Linked DNA regions of Nothobranchius furzeri. The protein of the gene in region 1 interacts with the protein of each later gene in a biochemical or structural test. Links are inferred from orthologs where the notes say so. Each region holds a gene or a part of one and is shown in the gene's direction. Other genes may lie near its edges.

The links.
Region 2: of the proteins of myb (region 1) and nlk2, one has a biochemical effect on the other in vitro, tested with the Homo sapiens proteins (2 studies listed by BioGRID, with this or other methods). The link is inferred for Nothobranchius furzeri from reciprocal best matches to the Homo sapiens genes MYB and NLK.

Annotation. Positions count from the first base shown.
Region 1 is NC_091742.1:436,913-441,249, reverse strand, and holds the start of myb (transcriptional activator Myb), read left to right. Parts: upstream 1-1,376; 5' UTR 1,377-1,607; coding exon 1,608-1,630; intron 1,631-3,170; coding exon 3,171-3,288; intron 3,289-3,418; coding exon 3,419-3,490; intron 3,491-3,618; coding exon 3,619-3,711; intron 3,712-4,337. UniProt on the Homo sapiens protein: Transcriptional activator; DNA-binding protein that specifically recognize the sequence 5'-YAAC[GT]G-3'. Plays an important role in the control of proliferation and differentiation of hematopoietic progenitor cells.
Region 2 is NC_091753.1:61,281,501-61,285,319, reverse strand, and holds part of nlk2 (serine/threonine-protein kinase NLK), read left to right. Parts: intron 1-3,370; coding exon 3,371-3,472; intron 3,473-3,819. UniProt on the Homo sapiens protein: Serine/threonine-protein kinase that regulates a number of transcription factors with key roles in cell fate determination. Positive effector of the non-canonical Wnt signaling pathway, acting downstream of WNT5A, MAP3K7/TAK1 and HIPK2.

The DNA of each region.
Region 1 (4,337 bases):
TTAAATGCACTGCATGCTGCATCAAATAGGGCAATTTTCTGTCTGTGGCAACATGTGCACACACATGTCTGTAGCCCTTTGTCAGCCAGCTATTATGAAAACTATCCTGGGACAATAGGCTGTTCTGGGGTGATGATAATTACAAGTGACCAGGACAATAAGGTCGCGTATGGAGGAACTAATACAATGAGAAGACACATTTGTACAAATAAAGCTTTAAGCCCCCCTCCTTTCTTGCAATGAATGGTTGAACAAGAACAGCCCTGGATCAGGGTGAAAAGAAAAATCAGCCAAAACAAAATTGTCATAGCACACGGTCAGCCTTACTGGAAAATAAAATAATTATAATAAATTAGAGATAATTAAGTCATGCAAGAACAGTATTTATTCCTCATCATTCAGGTTGCTGAAAAACAGGTTGAACCTGTTTAATTTAAATGTGGGTTATTTGCATTAATTGGCATGCAGAACTAAAGAAGAAACTTGAAGAAAACCCTAAAGGCAATAAAATAGTCAGATAACATATGAGTTAAAAGCGCAATAAATCCCCACAAATAGTTTTATTGCTACTGGGTTTCATGAACTTTGTTTATGTAGGAGAGAAGGGAGCGCGTTTTGTCGCGGGACGATAAGACAAGGTTTTGTTGCAAGCTTTATCACAGGGAAACATCTGCAACTCCACCGTGAGCGCTCCACGAACAGGTGCTGTTACTTCGCTCTTGTCGCATGCAAACCCTGTCTTATTGTTCTCTCCGTCCGAATGCCAACACTCTCCTTCTTCTTTTCATAGGAAAAAGAGAAGCAATGCACATTGCTCAATGGAAAGTGTTCTGCGCGCACGACCAGGCTGTGTGTGTGTGTGTGTGTGTGTGTGTGTGTGTGTGTGTGTGTGTGTGTGTGTGTGTGTGTGTGTGTGTGTGTGTGTGTGTGTGTTTGCGTGTGTGTGTGTGTGTGTGTTTGTGTGCGTGCGTGCGTGCGTGTGTGTGTGTGTGTGTGTGTGTGTGTGTGTGTGTGTGTGTGTGTGTGAGGAGGTGGGTAGTACTTCACTATAATTGTGTAAATGTTAACACCACTTTGTTGCGCACATTTGTATTATATTTTAATTATGTATAGGACAAAACTGAACTAAACGCGGGAAGTTATTCAATTGACACGTATTAACTTTTAATATGCCATTTATTTTTATGGTGCATTCAATGTAACACTGAATTTATTTCTTAGTAGAGTGAGCCCAGTGGTTATTGTTTTATTTTTTAGCTAAAATTTAAGTTTACTCAATTTTAGAATGTAATGTTTTACCTCGTTGCAAAATTTCTTTCATTTCCATTAATCACATTTTTTTTTGTGTGTTTTTAAATACAGATAAAGAAAATTACGACTGCAAGTGGAGTAGACGGTGTATTGAGCATGCGCACTGGAGCGAAAAGCCTGAGTAGCGCCAAATTGCCCGGGATGCGAAGGAAGGGAGGGAGGAGGAACTCCCCGGAGTCTGCCACACCAGTTTAAGTTAATGTCAGCCTCCTGGTCGCTGGGAGAAGAAGCTCCGCGCTGACAGCGAAGGTACATGCTCGGCACCACCTGCTGGAAGCCGCTGTCCCGACTCAACAATGACTCGGCGGCCGAGAAACAGGTGGGCTTCCACTGAAAACTTACTTTAAACCTCATAATTCAGAACTTTTTCATCATATTTCATCGCAGTTGTTGTGTTTTTAGCGTGAAGCGGAGCACTTAAAGGTGCATCTTTTCTGACAGGGCACGCGCTTTTCCCTAAAAGCAGAAGGAGAAAAGTTAGATAATTTTCGTTGAGTTATTATTATTATTTTTGTATTTGTGAGTGTTATGTTTTCCTTGCGAGGGAGGCTCGCGCCAATGACAGGTGGTGGTCATCTGGCATGTGCGCTCCTCGCGCTGCTGTCACGGTGACACACACGCGCGCTGATGCCACGCTGCGGAGCAATACGGTGAACAGACGCAGGTGTTTCAAAGATATCGCAGATATTATGCATACTATTAGACTGAAAGCAGTTTCAGGGTTTGTGTTTTTGCATTCTGGTGTGTTGCGTTCAATGCGGCCGCGAACGCATTCTGTTACTTTCGTTTTCGTCCCATTTAACGCATAACTGCTCAAATGAATCCAGTCTAAAGGTCACTCAGCACCAGCCTGAAGTGTTCAGCAGCATCACTGAAAGCAAGAGGCGCTCGGTTATTTTGGAAACAGCGCTTTCACAACGTCCTCAACAGCGCGTGCTCTGTTTACTAAAATATTTAAAGAAAAACAAACCCACCTACCTCAAGTTAGACGGTCTGTGTCTTTCTGATCATTATGACATAAATTCTGCTGTTCAGAATCCCATCGATGGTTTTCAGTTCCATATGGATGTTAAAATGAAATATACTCACTTATAACATGATAGAAACCATAAATGCAATACGTTTTTGAATCTATCTGTAATGTTGTGCCCAAACAAGGTTAATCATGATGTCTCTGATCTTGTTTTATTACATGTATTCTTTGTGCTGTGCATCAGGGGTCTCTTGTATGTTTGTCAGTGGATTTTTTGCTGCTCATTAAGTCAAAATGTCCAGTTAATGGATAATAAAAGAATAGGAGGACGATAACACAATAAATAACCTTGACTGACACCGCAGAGGGGGGTTGTACACCTGTTGCTCACTCTGAAGCTACCTAGCTTCCACATTCTTTTGGTCCGACATCTTGATTGGTTAACCAAACACTGTGTGTGTGTGTGTGCACGCTGTACAATACCTGTGCAGGTCTGAACACGCCAGGGTCACAAAATTATGATCACATGTGCCAATCCCAGTATCTGTGGAAACCAAAAACACTGGAACCTGTTCATCCTTCTCCCTCCCTCCCCTCCTCCCTCCAGGCTGCTGTTCTTTCCTTCGGTCTTTTTTTTTTCTGCTTGTGGGTGTCTTGGCTCCAGGCCTGCACCCAAACCTTCAAGAATGACTGGTTCTCTGTCTGTCTTTGACACCTGATGAGCTAAACAGCGGGTTGACTTCTTTATGTTCTCTCTAAAGAGCTTATTAAGGAGTTATGTATCAATAGACATAAAGTTCATTCTCCCATTATTATCAGATATCATGCAACACTTTTCACACAGACTCCACCTCATTTAATCTCTGACCTTTGTTTATTTCTGCAGTGTTTACAGCAGCGAGGAGGATGAGGAGGAGACAGATTTGTATGAACACGACTATGACGGGTCACTGGCCAAGACAGGGAAGCGTCACCTTGGCAAAACTCGCTGGACGCGAGAGGAGGTATTCAAAATTCAACTTTTTGCCGGCATTCACTCTAGGAATGTGTGAACCCCACGTTTTAATGCATTTGTTACTGCAACTGCAGCAGATGTTTGACCTCTTCAGCAAACATGTTTTCTGTCTCATTCAGGATGACAAGCTGAAGAAACTTGTTGAACTTCATGGATCTGAAGACTGGAAAGTCATTGCAAGCCTACTAACTGTAAGTAGCTTGCCTTGGAGGTAAATAAATGATGTGAAAGCCAAAAGCTGAGGTGCATCTCCATCAGAGCTCTGGATTTAAATATGCACAAAATAATAAAATGCCTTTTTGTGCTCTAAACCACTCAGAATCGAACGGACGTGCAGTGCCAGCACAGGTGGCAGAAGGTTCTCAACCCAGAACTCATAAAAGGACCTTGGACCAAAGAGGAGGACCAGAGGGTAGGAAAACATAGAAGTGATGATTAATAACATCAGTTTCCAGAGAGCCATTAACATCTCTAGGAACCTGCTAGAAACAAAAGTAGGGTTTTTACTCACAGGAAATAAGTTGTAATGTATAAGTTGTAATAAGTTGTAATACTTTATGTTCCTGTTAGATTAAAGCAACCCCCTCTGTGGCAATTCTTTGTATGCTCTTGCACATTTTTTGTTACACAACATATGTCTTGTTTAATCTCATCCAAGCAGCGGGTGTTTATTGAGCTAAATCTAAGGAGTTGCATTTCCAGCCAGATGCCACTGAAACGATTAGCAGAGCGGCTAATGTTGCACAGGAAACTCCCTCGGCCCTCTCTGGCAGGTGTTCTCTCTCACCTCCGAGAAGAAAGTCGAGGGCCGGGGAGAAGCCTCATAAAGCTGTAAACATCTCTAACAGCTCATGCAGCTTTATTAAACTTTTTATTCTATTTGTTCTTTCATCCCCCCCCCCCCCCCTTACTGTCATATCTTCACTCCCCCTTAACTTCTCCCTCTCCTCACTATTATTACTTTTTCCTTCCCCTTTCCCAATCCTCTGCCATCTACTTCCTTTTCATTGTTCTTCCTCATGTTCTTTTGCCCTTTCC
Region 2 (3,819 bases), on another chromosome or scaffold:
TAAACCCAAGCATAAGTTTGATCCCAGGCAAAAATAGGATATCAAAACCCCCAACCTCCCATTATCCGGCAATGTGATGGCATCATGTAGTAAGTAAATTTTATTTGTTTAGCACTCATCACAGACATGGAATCACAAAGATCTTCACATAAATCGAAATAAAACATAAATCATAAAAGAATATTTAGATTAAAATCAGAAAAATTAAGTCATAAAATTATATAATACCATAAAACAAATGAAAGAAGATTTCTAATTTGAGTTAAAAATAAGAAAACAAAAGATTTAGGTAAAAGCAACTTTAAATAAAAGGGTTGTCAGCTGTTTTTTAAAAGTGTGCAGACTGCCAATGCTACGTAAGGAAAAAGAAAGAAAGTCGAGGTGCAACAGTCTGGAAGGAGCGATCACCTCGACTTTTATATCTGGTCCGTGGAACTTCTAGAAGGTTCTGGTGGGTGGACGTGAGGGCTCGGGTTGGAGCATAAGGCTTTAACAGTTCAGTAATATAGGGAGGAGCTTGACCCTGTAGATTCCATCTTTCAGTTCTTTTTAAAACACAGAAAAGGTTTAATTACCTGCAACGTTTCGTTTGCGGCTGCAAACATCATCAGGTTGACGCCGTTGACCATGTAGAGCAGGGATTCCCAAGCTGCCGCTAGGGGGTGCGCAAGGTGAAAAGTGTAATGGCTGCGGAGCTCAGAGAAGTCTGTCAAAAGTCACCATAAAAGGTTGGTTTATGCTTGACGCGTCCGCAAGGTCCGCGCGGAAAAGTTGCGTCATTTTAACAACCACGCCCCTCCACCGCGCCTCCGCACGGCCCAGAATTTCCGCAACGCACACATCGGAAAATGTCTAACCACGCAGACGGTCGGACGCGGAAAAACATGGCTGACTGGCAAGAACTAGTATGGCAGAGGTTCGTAAATACAGACATTTGTATGATTCAGCTCTCAGAGATCACCGTGATCAACATGTTGTAAATAATTCTTGGAGAGAAATAGCTCGCACTGTCGGAAAAGACGAGGACGCTGTTAAATATGCTGGAATACCATGTTGTAAACAGTAATTTCTACTTCTACTATGGTGAAGTGTTGGGTGCATGCCGTAGAGCTCCATGCTGCCCCGTTCAGTTTGGGAGAATATTGGCTCACCGCAGAGACGAGCCGCACGAACCATAAACGCTGCGAGTTGTGAAGCGCGTTCCATCCGCGAGCCGCATCACCGCGCGGAAAGTAAATGCGTCAAGCATAAACCAAGCTAGCGTAGCCAGAAACTCATTTGTGGGTGGACCTAAGAAAATGTAAGTGGGCCCAATAAATGTAATTGAAAACAAGTATATTTTGCTTGTGTGTGTGTGTGTGTGTGTGTGTGTGTGTGTGTGTGTGTGTGTGTGTGTGTGTGTGTGTGTGTGTGTGTGTGTGTGTGTCCTCCGCACATGCCCTAGCTCAGGAGTCGGCAATCCGCGGCTCTGGAGCCGCATGCGGCTCTTCCATACATCTGATGCGGCTCTCTGTGTTTGTAAAATAATTAATGGATATTTAAATAAAATGCTTTATATTTTACTGCATTAATTTTACATCTGTAAGCTAATTCTAAATGTAAAGATTGTCTGCGTAAACCTGAACAGTTCCAACCCGGTCTTACTGTGAGACCGGGTTGACGCATCACGCTTGTGAGTAATCATATTGGCGCTTCCTGAGCTGAAGACGATGTGAGATTCTGGGACTCTCCTCAGACGCCACATTGGAGACAGGAACAAGCACAATTCAGCCAAAGTTTCATCATCAGGGAACATTTTCTAAGTGACAAGTCTCTCTGAGAGACCGGGTTTGGAAAACTCTCGCTTCAGTGGAAGGAATCTTCCCGCATGCACTCTGGTTCTGCAACGCGCTCCAAGCCCCTCTCCACATCTTCAGCTTGCTGTGCACCGTACGTATGCACTGACAGTGAGCTCCGCTGAGCGGTGTCCAGCTCAGATGTTCAGAAGGAAATCTTTTCTTGAGTGATTTAGTTACATCTGCGATTTGCGAAACGAGTAAAGTGTCAGTTCGTCTGCATGTGTTGGGGTAATTATTTCTATTCTTTCTCCGTCAAAATAAACGGCCAAATATGGGAACTGTCAGGTCAACACAAGCCCTGCTTTTAACTGTTCTGTTTTCTTGTGAAAATTGTTACAAATTTAACTTGATTACCACCAGAGCCAGGCGCACTGCGCCGTTATCTCCGTCACTGTAAATGAGGGAAAAACAAAATGATCGGATCCTTTTCTGACCTTCCCCACCTACAAAGTTTAATTACAACAATCAAACGTGACAGAGCCTGGATTTGTATTCTGAACAGTCTAAACATGTTTTAAAAAGAAACGTATGACAAAAGTGGCACCTGCTCAGTAAAACCACCAACAGGGTGAAAAATATCAAAATATTGTCGGCAGAGACGGGCTACAACTTCCGGATCCACTTTATATAAATCGTTTTATTGATTATCTTCTTATGAAAGATAGCTTTGACGTACACGAGCGACCGGTACTGGCTGCTGTCACCTGTTGTGAGCAGCGCTCTGCTGTCTGAGGGTAGGCCCCGCCCACAATGCCGCGGCTGCTGCGGTGTTTTCTTTACTGTGGGAAACGGGTAATAATGGCTCTTTTATGGGAACAGGTTGCCGACCCCTGGTTTAGCGTGACGTCTGATATATATATATATATATATATATATATATATATATATATATATATATATATATATATATATATATATATATGGGGCTGGGGGTGCGTCAACATGGTCGGGACATAGAAGGGGGTGCGCGGCTAAATAAGTTTGGGAACCACTGATGTAGAGCCCTGATAGTTCTAGTCAGGACTCTAAAATGAACTCTAAAGTTAACGGGTAACCAGTGCAGAGACATCAGAATAGGAGTGATGTGTGCTCTTCTGTTTGCTCCAGTTAGGAGTCTCGCTGCAGAGTTCTGGACCAACTGAAGGCGGCCAAGGGCTTGTTTGTTAAAACATGTGAAGAGTGTGTTACAGTAATCTAGACGGGAGGAGATAAAGGCATGGAGAACCATTTCAGGTTCATGTTTTGACCCCAACCTTCACAGTTTGGAGATATTTCTTAAATGATAAAAACAGTTTCGGACCAGCGTTTTTGAGTGACCTTCAAGAGACATTGATTGGTCAAAAACACCCAAATTCCTTAAGTTTGTCCCGACGGCAGAAGATAAATGACCAAGTTTTAGACTAATCAGGGGAACCCTGCTATCTTCTAGCCAGCTGGTGATAGCTGATAGACACTAGTAATTCAGACAGTTTACATATGTAAGGTTCAGTGGAGTGGTATGTGTGATTTAATGGTTTTACATTTGTGTTCAGTTGGATTTAATCACTGACCTGTTGGGAACACCTTCTATGGAAGCGATGCGGACAGCATGTGAAGGGGCTCGTGCACACATCCTCAGAAGTGCTCACAAACAGGTGAAGTACTTTTAAACAAGTATATAGACTTCTGTCTCTTTTAAATCCTTAACCCATTAAATAACACCAAACAGACACCTGACTAAATCATGTCATCATTATCAGTCACTTTGGGAGACAGCTGCAGAGGAGTGAAGTTCCTGCTGCGTATCTGGAGGGTTGCAGGCTTGCTGCTGGCTCACTAGTGTCCTTGAGCAAGGCACTCTGCTGGTGGTGTCTGTGTACAGCAGCACCACCCCGTCAGCATTCACCAGAGCTGCTGTGGCTCGTCACCTTCAGTGTGGGAATTTGTGAATGACTGGTGTGTTGTAAAGAGCCTTGGGGGGGTTCGAGTACTCTAGAAGGTG